Arabidopsis thaliana: one gene and its partner. The protein of the gene in region 2 purifies or fractionates together with the protein of the main gene of each other region. This does not show direct contact. Each region holds a gene or a part of one and is shown on either strand. Other genes may lie near its edges.

Region 1 (8,736 bases), about 13 Mb from region 2:
AGTATCGTTTGTTTCTTTCACTATGCATACCTCCTTTATTTCCTTGATTTGCTGGTCAAGACCACCAATCATGTCATATGTGGAGTCTGGAACCTTCTCAACTTTCATAAGGTTAACCAAGGGATCTACTTTACTTGGCAGAACCAGGTGGAGAACATAGCTATCATTACGGAGAGCAACTCTCGTTGATGGAGTGAGTTTCGTTATGTCTATACTTTTGTCAATATCGACAACATACTTCCCCTCTGGATGAACCTGAAACATGGGAAAGTATTATTCTATCAATGTTCATATGATTGCAAACAATTCAAAAACCAATCTAGATAATACGATAAAAACATTCATACCTTAACCAAGACCTTGTTTTTTCCCATCACTTTTACCACTTCACCCACATAGGACCCAGGTTCTTGAAGGAGCTGTAACTCTTCTCTGAGCATTCGTACTGTTCAGTTTACAATGACAACAAGGTTTAAAATGTTCAGCAGTATACATCGATTGTATCAATCACTACATACTTTGCTAAACAATCAAATATTGACAGAAGCTGATTCATACTCAACACAAACAGAATCAAGAAGAAATCTCAATAGGGTAACTTAGTGATGCTAAAAATCAAGGCGCAGCATAGTTTAGATCCAGTTCTGGAAAAGATCAGAAACCCTCAATCCAAACAATCACCGCAACAATTTATAAATTTAAAGCACCCAGACGAAATCTAAAGTCCTAATATGGAATTCGAGATTACTAAACTTAAGAAGATGATCAAAAGATCCAACTTTGCAAAGAAATTCAATGAAAATTAGAGTTAGAGAAGGAAAAAGAGACCTCGAGAATTGAGTTCATTCCTCTGAGCTTCAAGACGATTAAGGTTATACGACTTTTCGCGTTGCAGGCGCTGGAGCTCATCGAGATGCTGGAGGTAGTACTTGTTAAGCCCTTCTCCTTGTTTCGCCGCCGCTCCCTTAACGTTGCAGGTTTCCTCCATCGCTGTCACAGGAGGTCTCGCCTCCACTCCTACGGCCGCCATTAACACGGTGATTGAAGCAAATTATCGAAACAGATCTCTCTCAAGTATGCTTTTGAGATTCAAAGATAGATCACAGGGACTAAGATCATGAGCAAAGAACCTTTATATAGAAAAGAACCTTGGATTATCCAACAAGACATCTTTTTTTTTTTTGTAAGTTCAATTTACTATTTTTTATTTTGTGAGAATAAAATGGAAAACGAACGACCCAAAATAAACCGAGTCTATAAACCGCTTGGTTTTGTTATTTTTAATGTCTGCAATACCAAAACCACAACTAAAGCCTATTATTAAAACTTTTTTGGGTAACCCAACTAAAACCACACCGAATAAACCATATTATTGCATAAACATTTGTATTTTAAAAAAAAGTTTTTAGTAATAAAACCACTCGACTAAAGATGATTGTAAAAATACCCTTTAATTTAAATTCTGTTAATACAATTCTCTCTTCATTTTTAGTAATAAAAATTAGACGGGTTAGGGTCAAATTAAAATGAATCGACTTCGACAACACACAAACCTTATAAAAATCTCATTTTTCACTTTCTAAATTTTAGAGCTTAAATAAATTAGAAAATTTAGATTCGGTATAAATAAGAACATTTTGTTGTTTTTATTTACAATTTTTATTGTTTAAGTGTATATTTATTATTTTTCAATTTGTGAAAAATATTACATTTTATTTTAATTGTAATCCGTCCAATTTTCACGACAATATAGATGGATGAGGATTTACATTAACAAATTTTAAGTTTAGAGTTTTTTCACTAAATAAATAATTGATAGGTTTTCTCACGATTCATCTTTAGTTGAAGGATTTTATTACTAAAATAGTCATATTAATTAAATTATAATAATATTAACTTTATAGCTTTTTTCTCTCTAATCAAATATGATAACTGATTTGGACATAAAAACTTTGAACATGTGTTCGTTTTAAAGACACATTTAGATATAAAAAAAAAATATTTAGGTCATAAAAACTTAATCTAAAAATGTTTGATGAATCAACCGAAAAAGGGTTTCAAAACCAGCAATCGACAGCAAAGTAAAGAAACTCTAATTTGTCATATCCGAAATGAAAATGTGGTTTTCCATTGACTTGAATTACATAACAAAGAGATTCCTACTTCCAGAACTTACTCAGAGGCTTGTTCTTCTTTGTGTGTGTTTTTCGTTACTTTCGCCACCGCCATCTCAGTATTCTTATGTCACGTGTACTCTCCTCTCACGCATATCAAATATTTTCGTTTCTGTGCACAAAGTTTAAACGTAATAACTGGAAACATAAGAAAGGTGCAAAATGTCCAGAGAACAAGATATAAGCTATTGTATTTTTCTTTTCCATTGCTTATTGTGTATTATATAATTCATTAATATCATATGTTTTGTATAATTTTGTAACTATGTTATCATTTGTATTAAAGATCTTTTTTTTGCTAAACTTGTATTAAAGATCTTGTATTAAAGATCTTGCTCTTTTTAAGTTTAATTTCATATGATTTTTTATTTGGGAGAAAAATAAAAAATGGAATGACGGAACCAACCCAAAATTAACAAAATTTATAAACCGCTTGGTTTTGTTATTTTATAAGTCTGCAATACAAAAAGTCCAAAACCACAACTTAAGCATACACCAAAACTTTGGTAACCGAGCTAAACCATACCGAATAAACCAAATTCGTGCGTAAAATTTGTAATTGAAATAAATTATCATAACATTTACATTATAGGCTTTTTCTCTCTAATGGAATATGACAGTTTCGGACAGAAGAACTCTTAACATGTGAAGGTTCTGCTTGTTTTGGTCTTATAAGCTCAGGTTCTTGAGTTTTGGGAATTTCCTTCCATTGACCTCAAATCGCATACTAGATAAACTCGTGTCTAGATAGTAAAAACTTTGTTCTAAAATGTTTTCATGAGACAACCGAAAAAAGGTTTCAGAATCAAACAACAAACAGTAAAGTAAAGAAAGTCTTTCCATGAGAGATTCCTACTTCCACAGCTTACGCAGAGACATGTTCTTCTCCGTGTCTTTCTTCATTACCTTGGCCACCGCCATCTCAAAGTCTTCTTGTGTCACGTGTACTCTCCTCTCACGCAGAGCAAACATTCCCGCCTCCGTGCACACAGCCTGACCGTATTAACCAAAAACATAAGAGAGAGGCAAAATGTAGAGAGAACAAGATAGAAGTAGAGAAATAGAAAACACTTTACCTTCAGCTCAGCACCTGAAGCGCCATTCATCTTCTCTGCAATCTTTTTCAGATCGATTCCACGCATCAAATTCATTTTCCTCGAGTGAATCTTCAAGATGTCAAAACGTGACTGCAACACATTTTGGAAACATACATTAGCCAAACCGTCCTGCCTCACTTGAGTAAAATGAGTATGGAGATAAAGAAAAGTTTTTTATGCTGCAAATGATAGTCTAAATACTAAATAAGGTGCCTACTTTGACGAATAATGTATTCATATCACCAAAAACAACAGTCAATATCATTTTCTCAGAGCACAAGTATTACCTCTTCATTAGGATTAGGAAATTCAATTTTCCTATCAATTCTTCCAGGCCTGAGAAGAGCTTGATCCAGAATATCAATACGATTTGTAGCCATCAAAACCTGCAACAGTCATTAAAGAGAATATGACTCTGTCAGCAATTTCAGACTACAATAACACAGACTCATCCTATTCAACTTATGGTTTTTTTTCCTTTACAACTTAATAGGTACCTTGATTTTGTTTGACGCTTCAAAACCGTCAAGTTGATTGAGAAGCTCGAGCATGGTCCGTTGCACCTCACTGTCACCATTTCCACTTCCAGATTCCATACGAGCAGACCCAATACTATCGATTTCATCCATGAAGATGATTGATGGTGCATGCTCCCTGAAAACCATAAACCGGTGTAAGCCAACTGGAAAGAGTATTTTCAACGAATCATCTCACCTATTTGTAATTTGCTCCTTACATGAGACTTGGCACTGTGGCCTAAATGCTAAGCACTATGACAAAGAATACTTTATAGAACGATATTCATTCACAACGGAACCATATTCATTGTAGCAACAAAGAACACTTTCCCCATTTAACTTAACAGCTCATGTCCATTTTATAGCAACTAATGGCGGACATGTTAAAAGATGTTATCTTATCAACAGTTCCATATTTTCCTATCAACCACTATTACCATGCTTGAAATTTAAAATAGGGACTACCATATACTAACCTTGCCATCACAAAAAGTTCTCTGACCATTCTAGAACCTTCTCCAATGTATTTCTGGACAAGCTCGGAACCAGAAACTCTTATGAAAGTACAGTCAGTGTGATGTGCAACAGCCCGAGCCAATAGTGTCTTCCCAGTTCCAGGTGGACCGTATAACAACACACCCTAGAAAGACAGAGAGATGAGATTACGTCTAATCCACTTAGCATCATCACAATATGGAGAAGAAGGTTTAAGATTCAAGTGTACCTTTGGCTGCGCAATTCCAAGAGACTCAAACAATTCAGGATGCTTGATTGGCAGCTCAATGACCTGATAAACCAGAAAAGATATAGATATTATATAAACATTAAAAGGATGAAACAACAGAGGAGATAGCCAATACTGTAGTGACTTTTAGTTTCGGTTTCTCATTCACTAAGCATACCTCCTTTATTTCCTTAATCTGCTGGTCAAGACCACCAATCATGTCATAGGTGGAGTCTGGAACCTTCTCAACTTTCATAAGGTTAACCAAGGGATCTACTTTACTTGGCAGAACCAGGTGGAGAACATAGCTATCATTACGAAGAGCAACTCTCGTTGATGGAGTGATTTTCGTAATGTCTATACTTTTGTCAATATCAACAACATACTTCCCCTCTGGATGAACCTGGAAAATGGGAGTGTAAGCCTTACTGACAACTATGTTCGTAGAAATACAAACATGATAATAAAAAAGATTCATACCTTAACCAAGACCTTGTTCTTTCCCATAACTTTTACCACTTCTCCCACATAGGACCCAGGTTCTTGAAGGAGCTGTAACTCTTCTCTGAGCATTCTCACTGTTCAATTAGAAATAATTTTAGTGTTAACGAGGTTTGAGATTTAGAACTAACTACAAATTATAAAGACTAGTAAGAAAACCTTCATGCATAAATAGGATGGTGATCATGATGACAACAGAAGCTGTTCTATAACTTTAAATGTGTAACTAAAATCATGGTATAGTGGAAAGGACTATATGGGCTCCTTCCAAAAGTATATATTCCTCAATGAAGATAGTGAAGAAATAACTAGGCTTTCCTGAAAAAAGCCACATACTTTGCAAAAGAACCAACAAGAAGACAGAATCTAGAAATCTAAACAAGTTAATGTTGCTAAAATCAAGACTAATCACTTCCAGATCGGAAACACTAAATCACCACAACAATTTTGAAATTTGAAATCACTCAGCTCCAATTGGAACGAAATCGAAAGCCCTAGCACAGAATCTGAGATTACGAAACACAAGGAGATGATAAAAAAGATCCAATTTTGCAGAGAATTAGGGTAAGAGAAGGAAGAAGAGACCTCGAGAATTGAGTTCATTCCTTTGAGCTTCAAGGCGATTGAGGTTATTAGTCTTCTGTCGAAGCTGGCGCTGGAGCTCATGGATGTGCTGGAGATAGTACTGCTTAAGCCCTTCCCCTTGTTTCGCCGCCGCTCCTTTCACGTTACAGGTTTCCTCCATCGCTGTCTCAGGACGCCTCGAATCTACTCCTACGGCCGCCATTTTCTCAGTGATTGAAACAAATTATCGAAGACAGAGATCTCTAGTAAGGAGATGAGAAGAAAAAGGAGAGAGATTAGTTTTCGTCGATCAGAATCTCAGAAACCCTCACGCGAAGCATTATATGATATCACCTAAATTAATAAAAAGGAAATTAACTCAACAATAGAAATATTTTTATTTTACTTTTTGCTTGTCTTAACCTTCTAGTTCGTTTAGAGTCCTTCCTCGAGTCTACGTTTTCTCAGGCTTACTCTAGCTGGTGGCTAATAAGCCGTTGGAACCATCTTAGAGATAAAACGTTCTGCTTGTTAGTAATTTAAGTTTCACCTTATCGAGTAAGAAGAGAGTTGTCGAGGGAGATAGTTGAAACTTTGAAACATTCGGATTAATAACTTCTTCTTTTTCGTTTAAATCTTACTTTAATACACATCATAAACATGTTTTATTACTAGATCAAAGATTTGAATAACATTTTAGTGTAGTTGATGCATGATGTCTCAACAACATGTTTCAACATCAACGACTTTGATTGGTGAATAAAAACAAAGTATTACAATTTGTATAGCTTTTTTTTATACAAAACACAAAAAGATTATCAAAAGTGTTACAAAAAGTTTTACTCTCACTTTTATTGTAAGGTTTTCTCGTACCGTTCTTTTTTACAGCTTTATAATATTCCGAAAAAACGTACACCTAAATTTTTTATACGACTTATTGTAAACAATCAGATCCGTTAATCTAAAATTTTGTACAGCTTTGTGTTGTACAGCCAGATGACAACAATTTTAGATTTATTATGTTTATTTAAGCGTTGGTTCAGCACATATCGTTAATCTAAAAGAGAGTGAATCTCAACAATGACTACATGCAATCTCAATTATTTGCTTAATTAGTGCATTGACTAGTTTATGTCCAAAATACACAATAATTTCTCTACAAACAAACAAAAATTCTCTACATACACACAGACAAAATCAATATGTTTAATATTCTTCCATTAATGGTGAGTTGACCAAAATTAACACCACAATTAAACTCAAAGTGACTAAAAAGATTACTAACAAAATTGTCCCGTACGATAAGACACTGACGAGAGAAGTCGTCGCCTTCCTCTAATTAGTCTCTGAATAATCCGATCCAGATCCCAAATCCTCTCTTCTTCATCTTCACCGATCTGGATCTCCCAAAAACCTCCACCAAAAACCAAAACAATGTCGTCCTCTCGATTCGATTCAAACAAACAATTAACAACAAGCAGTCTCGTAATCGGCTACGCACTCTGCTCAAGCCTCCTCGCCGTAATCAACAAATTAGCAATCACATACTTCAACTACCCAGGTCTCCTCACAGCTCTTCAATACCTAACCTGCACCGTCGCCGTCTATCTTCTCGGCAAATCAGGGTTAATCAATCACGATCCATTCACATGGGACACTGCTAAGAAATTTCTCCCTGCAGCTATCGTCTTCTACCTCGCTATCTTCACAAACACAAACCTCCTCCGTCACGCTAATGTCGATACTTTCATCGTCTTCCGATCTCTAACACCGCTCTTAGTCGCGATCGCTGATACTGTGTTTCGTAGTCAGCCTTTACCTTCGAGACTTACGTTTTTGTCTCTCGTCGTTATCCTCGCTGGAGCTGTTGGGTATGTTGCAACTGACTCGTCTTTTACTCTAACGGCTTATTCATGGGCTTTGGCTTATCTTGTTACCATTACTACTGAAATGGTTTACATTAAGCATATGGTCTCTAATATTAAATTGAACATTTGGGGATTGGTTCTCTACAATAATCTACTGTCTCTGATGATAGCACCGGTGTTCTGGTTTCTTACTGGAGAATTCACCGAGGTTTTCGCGGCGTTGAGTGAGAATAGAGGGAATTTGTTTGAGCCTTATGCGTTTTCTTCTGTGGCTGCGTCGTGTGTGTTTGGTTTCCTTATCAGTTACTTTGGATTTGCTGCTAGGAATGCTATCTCTGCTACTGCTTTTACAGTCACTGGTGTTGTTAACAAGTTCTTGACTGTTGTCATCAATGTTTTGATTTGGGATAAGCATGCCACTCCTGTTGGTTTGGTTTGTCTTCTTTTTACTATCTGTGGAGGTGTTGGTTATCAGCAGAGTGTCAAATTGGATAAACCCATTGAGAAGGTCAGCGAGAAAGATAGCGAGAAGGGAGAGGAAGATGAGGAGTTGACGCAGTTGGTTCCGGGGAAACTAGCTTCTGTTGTATGAGAGAAGTGTCATTGTTTTGCAGCCTGCCTTTTCAGGTGTGTAACCTTTTGAATATCTTAGCCTTTTTTACATTTTAACGAGGTTTCTAGTAAAAGTGAATACCTTTTTCTGGTTTCTGGCCTCTATAGTATTAAATTTTGTAAAACCCTGTTTCACATTATCCTCATATCCATTTATACAAAATCAATTTCTGTTCTCTGTGTTACAAGATTTTAGTGATGCACAAAAGATTTTGTTGTGTTGTATAATGCAAATGTGAAAGAACAGTAGCAGGAATGGATTGTTCTGTGTGCCTATTAGTAGTTGTAGTCTTACAATTTTGTCAGTTTACTAAATCCATTCAGTTGAAACATAACTGTCGAGACAGTTGAGCCAGGTATGTATTGATTTTTTGTTTGATTTAGAGCATTTGAATGTGTCACGGCATTCTATAGTTGTAACCCTTTCATCGACTTTTAAGCTATGAAATCACCACAAAACCTAATCATACATACCTAGCTCAAAGCAGATACGCTTTGAAAAATTATGACACTCTTAAATTGGCCAACCTTTTTGCTATCTTATAAGTTCAAAGAGCATCCTCTCCTCTCAAGCTAGCTTTTAAAGATGTCTTTTATACCCACTAGAGTTGCTTGTGTTGAGAACGAGCACACATGCCAAACTCAGAAAAATGAGACTTAGGCGAAATAGTATGTTTT
Region 2 (8,128 bases):
AGAACTTTGTCACATCATAAACCTATATATAACCATCAAAATGAAACACACAAAAAATGTAAACTTTGTCATATAAGTCCCTAATTCCACACAATCAGAGACCTAGATTAAGTGGGTTATCAAAAGTTCATACATCAGAACATACATGAACTACATGAACCTTACTAGCTTTAACTACAGATACAAGATCACACAGAGACATCTTAAGCAGCACCAACTATCACATTCAATTATAAAGACGTAAGTTTTTAGCAATTTCTCTGTGATTTAGACTTAGAAAAGTAACATTAATCTAGCAAATCAGATCAGATCTATCCCCAAACTTGTTACTACATAACTCTAGATTTATAAATCCAAGTCAACACAACTCAAGAATTTCGGATCTCACGAAGATAAGATGCAAAATCTAAGGGAAAACGGAAAATCGAATGAGAAACTGGGATCGGAGATGTAGGACCTTGCCGTCGATGACGATCCAACAATCCTTGGCGCTACTGTGCTGAGAAACCTCGGACAAGGTGAAAACTTTTCCGTCTCCGCCCATCTCCGATGATCTGCTGGTGACTGGTGAGAGTTGAGAAGAGGAAGAGTATTACTATTATTTGGGAATCTGTGAGTTTGGGATCTTACACCAACCGCTTTTTTGGTCTACTTAAGTTGTGTATGTCTGATCTCATCTATTGATGGGGTCGGAAATTAATCAGTGGCCAATAATCAGCAGTTAATCAAAGATTCCGTTTTCTTATATTATTTAAATGAATTTATTTTATATATTTAATTAATGTAGAAACTAAAACAATTTATAATGTTACAAAGAAAAAATGTTATAAAAAATCTTAGTATTGTATGTTTTTCCTTAAAATAAAATAAATGTTTTTAGTAATTCATGTTAGCTGATAATGTTTCTACTAAAATCATGTTAGCTTATTGATTTCCATGATGCTTATAATGTTTATACTAAAATCATGTTAGCTTTATGTACATCAATTTAGATAAAATCCAAACGTTTGGTGGTTTCGCCCTCTTAGACGTATGATCAATCGTGTAGACGGCTAGATGTTAGGGTAGACCATTCTAATTGGGCCCAACCATTCACTCGGTCCACAAGATCCGGATCTTTTCTTCAGTTGTCGATAGTATTTAGTTTTTTCATGAACTATAGCAATATGGACACGATGATTCATGGGAGGAAAGATATGGGGTTGTCTTCTTTAAAACTTGATGGCGCTTAAGATAAAAACAGTCAAAGAGACTTGTCGGAAGGCCAGTGTAACGAAAGCAGTGTGGTTTTAGTTATAGGCTAAATTGAATATGAATAATTGATCATAGGCCCAGTTTGTTGGTTTATGATTTTAGAAAGAATTGATAAGAGAAGGAGAATGTTTTGAGGTTGGAACTCTCCGACAGATAAATATGATGGGAAGAATTATTCACGGTCGTATATTTTGACAAGGGACCAACGGAAAGGAGAGCAGTTGCATGCATCACTCGTCTTTACACTATTTAGAAAGAAAATGAATCTTGTTTAGTGATTCATTTTAAAAAGTTTTTCTATGTGAACCTCATTCGCTAGAAGTAGTTTAAATGTATTTGCCTTAATCCGATCTTAGAACTGGATATTTGATATTTCTGTAATCAGTTCGAATGTATCTAACTATAGGGCTAAAACACCGACTGTATAGTTCTTTCGACATATATAGAGTGTGTACTTTGCTTAATGGAACCATAGGCATGTTAAACGAGAGCATTTAATGTTGAAATTCACTTCTTTTTTCAATGCATGTTTTGACTCACATTGCAAGGCCTATGGTTGGTGTTCAACGAGAGAAAGAAACTATACATGACAAGTTAAAGACATTTATTTTGAAGGACTAACCCAAAAGGAGAACGAAAGAGAGCTAGAGAAGAAGAAACAAAAAGACAAAAAGGCTTTCGTAATCAGTGCTCTTCCTTTTTGGCTTTTTACTACCAAATAGTTTAAAAGAGTCAAACAAAACATCGAACAAGCTGAATTCAGATACCCCATTGGTCACACAGTTGATGTAAGCGAATCTATATGTCCCAAAAAACATGATTTTTATAGTCAGTGAGCCCGTGATCAAACAAGCACCCGTGTACATACGTACACCATGTCCATATGTATAAATGTATAATATAATGAATGTATCTGAACGTTTCATGCATTCACTTTTTCACTTTTAGAGATTAAAGAAAAACATAGAACAATGATTGGGTTCGAGATAAGATTTCACAGTTTCATCACACTGGTTTTGCCAATTTCCAAGAAATGTAAAAAAAAAGATAAAACAACAGAGATCTTCTCAATGAACACTGTCTCATCTTTTTGTCAGTTTCTTGTTAATAATAATTTGATATTCAAGATTCAAAACACTCTTATCTCTTTACTAATTAGTACAAAATTCACCTTTGTGTTTGTACTTTTAACTCTGAACTTACATTACAGTATTTCAATGTAAACGTCAAAGTATTTACACACACATTCACGTGCGTCATAATTATGGTAAGAGAAGAAAAGGGACCAATCTTGTATAGTTGAAAGAAAAAGGATATGATTCAGATTTTTACACCTACCAAAATTCACACGTGAACCTCTCAATTGGGTCTCTTTCTTCTGCATCTGAATCATTTTTTTCACTATATGCCAAGCTTAAACATGTTCACACACATCCCTCTCAATCATCATCATTACATATAGCTTTGAATAAACATGAGAGATAGATAGAAAAACAAACACTTGAAAGAAACAGATGAGAAAATTTCACTAAGCATCTGAAGAAGATTAGTAGTACAAATGGTGTGAGGTTTTAAGGTCCCTAAGCTACTCTCAAACTTGTTCTCTAACCACATTATTACTTAAGATTACACGATTTCTGATGTTTGGTTAGTCTGTTAACTCCATCACATTCTCTAACTTCACACCATGTCTTTTGGAGCTGTTTCCTTTTGAACTTCATGGTTTGACTTGCACCCATTCGTAACGTCCGCTGAGGGGGATATCATTCACAATGTCGAAGTTGTACCTGAAGATTATTGAAAACACATGAGTGTTGTTCACCCTCTTCGTAATGACACAAAAATAAAATAAAGAATAAGCTTACTTCTCCATGAATAGCCTCTGTTGCTGCTGCTCTGCATATGCAAAGAACTCCTCCATTTCACTAGTGGTCGGGATCACGTTATCTTGTTCCCTTGTGTACTCTTTGGTTGCTCTGCACATCGACCTCGTGCTAGACCCTGGTGTAACCATGATCTCCATATCCTCAACAAAGTTACAAGGCGTGCTCTCCCTTGTGCTGCAGAAAAAAACACAGATAAAATAACTTCAATAACATTATCACCACAAAGACACTTAACCAAATCAAGAATCAAACCAAAACCAAACATCCAGAATAAAAAAGAGGCTTGGTTTAAGTAAACAACAAAAGCTAGAGACTTTCTAAGTAATATGGTCCCATAAGATAATAAATAACAAAGAGAAGGCAATCACCACATTGTCAACTAGCAGCAGGACGGTTACCCCAAAAAACAGAGGATCCTACAAAAGTATTCCCCAAGTATGCAAAAACCACTAGGTCCCATGAACATGACACCACAGTACTTGCATTACACTTATGAGGAAAGTCCCAATTCTCATATAATCTTACATATTAAAAGTTTCTGACCTTTATACAACAACCCACTTTTGTAAAAACGAAAACCATGTGTTTAAGTAAACCCCCAATAACCAAATCCCAATATTGTATACCCAATGTACAAATACTTCTTATGCCATTAGCCTAATAACAAGGAGAATCAACATGTTCTTAAACAAATTAAAATACACAAAAACAGATCAGAGTTTCACCAAATTTGTAACAAATAATGAAATACATATATAAAACGAAAATAGCTTTGACACATTCATTGATAATCTCTGCAATGAAGTACACATGGGACATACAGCAATAAATCAGATATAATGTAAATCTAACACCAAAAGAGACTTATACGGAGAAGTAGTAATAACAAAATTCAGTACATCACAAGAGAGTCAATTCATAAACAAAAACCAAACCAATAAGGGAAACATAAAAAACCTATTTTTCTCTTGTACTAAACTATTTTCATCCCCCAAAAAAAAAAAAATTGATTTGAAGCAAACAACAAAAGTTTCAGAGAAACCTAACTAAGATTCAAAACTATGTAAGACTCAAAACTAAGATTATTGGATAAGACAGAACACAAAAGTCGAATTGGTAATAAGAAAACATTAGGGCACAAAAAAAAAAAAAAAAAAACAACGAACCTGTGTCTTGATTCAAAACCGAGACTGTTTTCACCACAAGAAACTTGGACACTCACGAAATTGTCAAAACATTCATCTTCATTAGAGCTCTGAGCTACAGGAACCGAGTTAACCGAGTCAACGCGAGACCTGGAACCAGACTCTTTAATTCCCGATCTGTGAACTCTCGGCGGCTGTTTCGGTTCAATCAGCGAAGAGGGTTTCTCGAGACGGCGGCTACGGAGCTGAAGATAGCAAGAAGAGTCGTTAGGTAGAGCTGAATCAGCGGCGGAGGAATTAAGCCGCTTCAAGGCTAGGGTTTTAGCGGCTCTGGTTCGAACACCTGGACTTGGAGCTGTTGCTTTAGAGACTTCCATGACGCTGATATCGCCAGTTATCTTTGATTTCTTCATGTATTTCCCCATTTTTTGAGAGAGGGAAAAGAAGCTTGAAAGCGGAAAGAGAAAAATGAGAGGGAAAAGCTTTGAGGGAGGAGAAGAAGAGGGAAAGTGAGAAAATGGGAAAAAGGTTTTCGAGTTTTGTGGGGTTAAAATAAAACAAAGGAGAAGAAAAAAAAAGTTTACCTTTTTTATCTAATTGTCAAAAACAATATTATTATTATTATTATTTTTAAATAAAACCCCAAACTCATCATTATTATTTGTATTTTCCGTTGTGTTTTCACTTTTCATAGAATAATCGTCAGTTTTACATTTTTGATTTATTGATAATTTTTGTTGTCGAATAAATTTAAATTCATCATTTGACTAAATCTTTAACTTCTTAAAAATTAAACTGCTAATTAAATTCATCATTTGACTACGAATTTTCTATTAAATATAACGTGTATTGCATACGGCTTTTCTATTTTAAAATAAATTCTCATTAATATGATCGGTTTGTTGTTAAAAAAACAATTTTCATTTATTTAAATTTTATCAAATAATTTCATCATAAAAAGTATTGAATTTTTTTTATTGAAACCATATAAACTTAATAGTACATACTTTTAACATGTAACAACAAACAACTAGTTACATACATTCACATAGAATAAAAAATGTTTATACGAAAAATAAATTATTATTATGCACACGAATAAATATTCAACTTAAGTATTTAAACATAATATTTTTTCTTTGAAATTGACAGACTTTTTCCAAAAAATCGAGTCAACGGAAATTGCACCAAAAAATTGCTAAGTTTACAATTTTGGTATATAATGATTTTTATTTCTCAATTTAACAAAAATAAATCTAGGACTATTTTCCATAGTTAAATTACCCTTTGAACCAACGCGTATTACACACGGCTTTTTTTGTTGGATATACATGTTTCTTTTAAAATAATGATTTATTATTTATCATTTTTATCAAATATATTAATCATAAAAATTATTGAAATCATATAAAGTTAATAGCCCATACTTTTTCATTGTATATCAATAAATCAGTAGTTAAATACTTTCACATATAAGAGAAAATATTTATGTAAATTAGTAATTATTCTTACATTATGCACACTAATGAATATTAAACTTACATATTAAACATGATATTTTTAAAAATACATTGATAAGAATTGTTTCAAATTTCTAGTCAACTGACATTTCACAAAAAATCACCAATTTTTGTATATCATTATCTATATTTCTCGATTAAATAGAAAAAATCCGGGATTTTTTCTTTATAAAATTACCATGTGGACCCATAATTTATATATTTTCTATCTTTTAAAATCAATTAGTCAATCAATCATTATTACATACAAAAGTTTCACAATTTTAAGTTTTAACACGCATTGTACACGATAACATGGCTTCTACATCACATAAATATATGATCCGACAATAGTTTACAAAGAAGAAAATAAACAATTTCTTATTTACCTTAAAACATAAAATAATAAAAAATCAATATGATTTAATAAAACATGTTGATCGAAAATTCCATGGAGATTGTTGTAAAAACCCTAAAGAGACGTCTACATATACACATCAGCTACTAGTGATGATTGCTTCTTGTGATGAATTTTGATTCATTGGCATTTTATGTGGTATATGCAAAGAAAGGTATGATTTCAGTAATAAATTTTTGATCTAGGGACAATTTTCAATATTAATCCTCATTTGTTTGCTAACAACATTTATTATGCGGATATAATCAAAATGTATGTGACAATTGGGCCGCGCGAAATATAAAATACCAATCAAAACCTTTAGGAAGGAATCATCTGCAACATGTTACTACGGAGAAATGCAAGCTGGAACGAGGCAACAAAGATGAAGGTATGTATCCCACCATTATAAATTAAAATCAAATTATAATTCGGATTATACGTATCCGTAAATTCATTCTCTGGATCTGGATTCACCTATCTTGGATATCCGGTTTTCTGGATCGGATCGGAAAGAATTCCGGATTGGATCTATGATTCCGAATAATAGTGCCATGCCTCTCAAAAATCCATATACTGTATCTAAAATCTTTTAATGGCAAACTAAATATTAAAATTCCACTTTTTTTTTGTAATTAAATTTAGTTTGGATATACATATATATTAAACCACAAATTTGGATATCTGAAGTGTAGATATTTGGAAACCACGAATTTGGACCTAAATATTTCAAAATTTCCTATGTTAAAAAACAAAAACAAATAAATTACTACTTCCATTTAAGATAATTAGAAAATCCATATAGTGTTTGCTGACTAAGATTCCTGGTCCATACTATTAACCACATAATCCCCAATTATTAAGCTCAAGCATTAAGGTTCATTTTATTAAGCTCAAGCATTAAGGTTCATTTTATTAAGCTCAAGCATTAAGGTTTTGCGTGGCACAATTTCTTTTTTTTTTCTATTCAGAAATAAATTTACAACCAATTTTACTTCTTTTTTTCTCTTTCATGAAAAGATCTTCTTTTTGGGTTTTATTTCAAATACAAAATAAATAAAAATTTAGATTTATTTTTGTTTACTATTTTTACAAAGTTCAATATATTTCATAAACTATCTAATGAGGATTTCTTGTATTTCACTTTCAATTATAAACTATGTCTAAACTGCATCATATATATGTCCAAGAGCATATGTATCTTATATGAACTTTAATTCTTTCAATATATCCCACTTACAACACATTAGGAGACCATTATTAGAAAGCGTATCATATCATTGATGTTAATTTTGTTTCTTGGTTTTATTTCGAAAACTGGTAGGTTTAGTGAAAATATAATCTTTCTCTCTAGCTTTTGATACTCTTCGTGCTGCCTTTGTATCACTTTTGGATATTGTACTAGAAAAACTGAGCTTAGGAATTACATTTTTCCAAATTGACTCCAACGTGAAAATTAACCAATCTTTAAACTATGTGCTCCCAAACTCATTCTTTCCAGTGCATTTTCGTAGAAGATGTGTCATCTATGTACCATCTTTTCCAAAAAAAGTTATCATCCTAGATTAATTCATGTCAGTTTCTCTCATGAATGGCAATGGTGAAGACCCTGAAAAAGATTTGACGGTAATTTTGTTGGGAACAGATGGTACAAAGTGGATATAATTTTTTCTACGAAAAACACATGAGAATTCGAGTGGAAAAGGGTTGGGAAGAATTTTCTAAAGGAACGGCTTAGAGATTAGTAACTCCTTCACAATGGATCAGTCAACTTGGAAATATCCAACCTGATGCTTAGTGTTTCGAGTACATAGTCCGAAAGTGACACACGGCAACAAGGAGGGTATTTGTAAAATCTAGAGTATTTGTTTCCACGGAACTTAGCAATAGAAACAAAACCAGAAACTAAAAACTATATGTCAGATGAGTAATTCATCTTTAATCATC

Evidence for each region. Proteins that work in one complex are often made in the same cells at the same time.
Region 1: the proteins of ICK6 (region 2) and RPT6A purify together in Arabidopsis thaliana (affinity purification with mass spectrometry, with the first as the bait; one large-scale study listed by BioGRID). This does not show direct contact.

The regions. Positions count from the first base shown.
Region 1 is NC_003076.8:6,749,209-6,757,944, reverse strand, and holds RPT6A (regulatory particle triple-A ATPase 6A), read right to left. Parts: upstream 6,148-8,736; 5' UTR 5,985-6,147; exon of another isoform or gene 5,842-5,984; 5' UTR 5,802-5,841; coding exon 5,600-5,801; exon of another isoform or gene 5,202-5,599; coding exon of another isoform or gene 5,174-5,201; intron 5,092-5,173; coding exon 4,994-5,091; intron 4,917-4,993; coding exon 4,692-4,916; intron 4,577-4,691; coding exon 4,514-4,576; intron 4,430-4,513; coding exon 4,266-4,429; intron 3,926-4,265; coding exon 3,769-3,925; intron 3,658-3,768; coding exon 3,559-3,657; intron 3,362-3,558; coding exon 3,251-3,361; intron 3,168-3,250; coding exon 3,027-3,167; 3' UTR 2,652-3,026; downstream 1-2,651. Other genes in the region: AT5G20000 (AAA-type ATPase family protein), read right to left, coding at 31-255, 348-445, 829-1,030; GONST4 (golgi nucleotide sugar transporter 4), read left to right, coding at 7,013-8,038. UniProt on the Arabidopsis thaliana protein: The 26S proteasome is involved in the ATP-dependent degradation of ubiquitinated proteins. The regulatory (or ATPase) complex confers ATP dependency and substrate specificity to the 26S complex.
Region 2 is NC_003076.8:19,789,637-19,797,764, forward strand, and holds ICK6 (inhibitor/interactor with cyclin-dependent kinase), read right to left. Parts: upstream 4,773-8,128; 5' UTR 4,711-4,772; coding exon 4,280-4,710; intron 4,098-4,279; coding exon 4,071-4,097; intron 3,315-4,070; coding exon 3,120-3,314; intron 3,042-3,119; coding exon 2,972-3,041; 3' UTR 2,634-2,971; downstream 1-2,633. Other genes in the region: CB5-D (cytochrome B5), read right to left, coding at 1-22, 458-544. UniProt on the Arabidopsis thaliana protein: Binds and inhibits CYCD2-1/CDKA-1 complex kinase activity. May target specifically CDKA-1.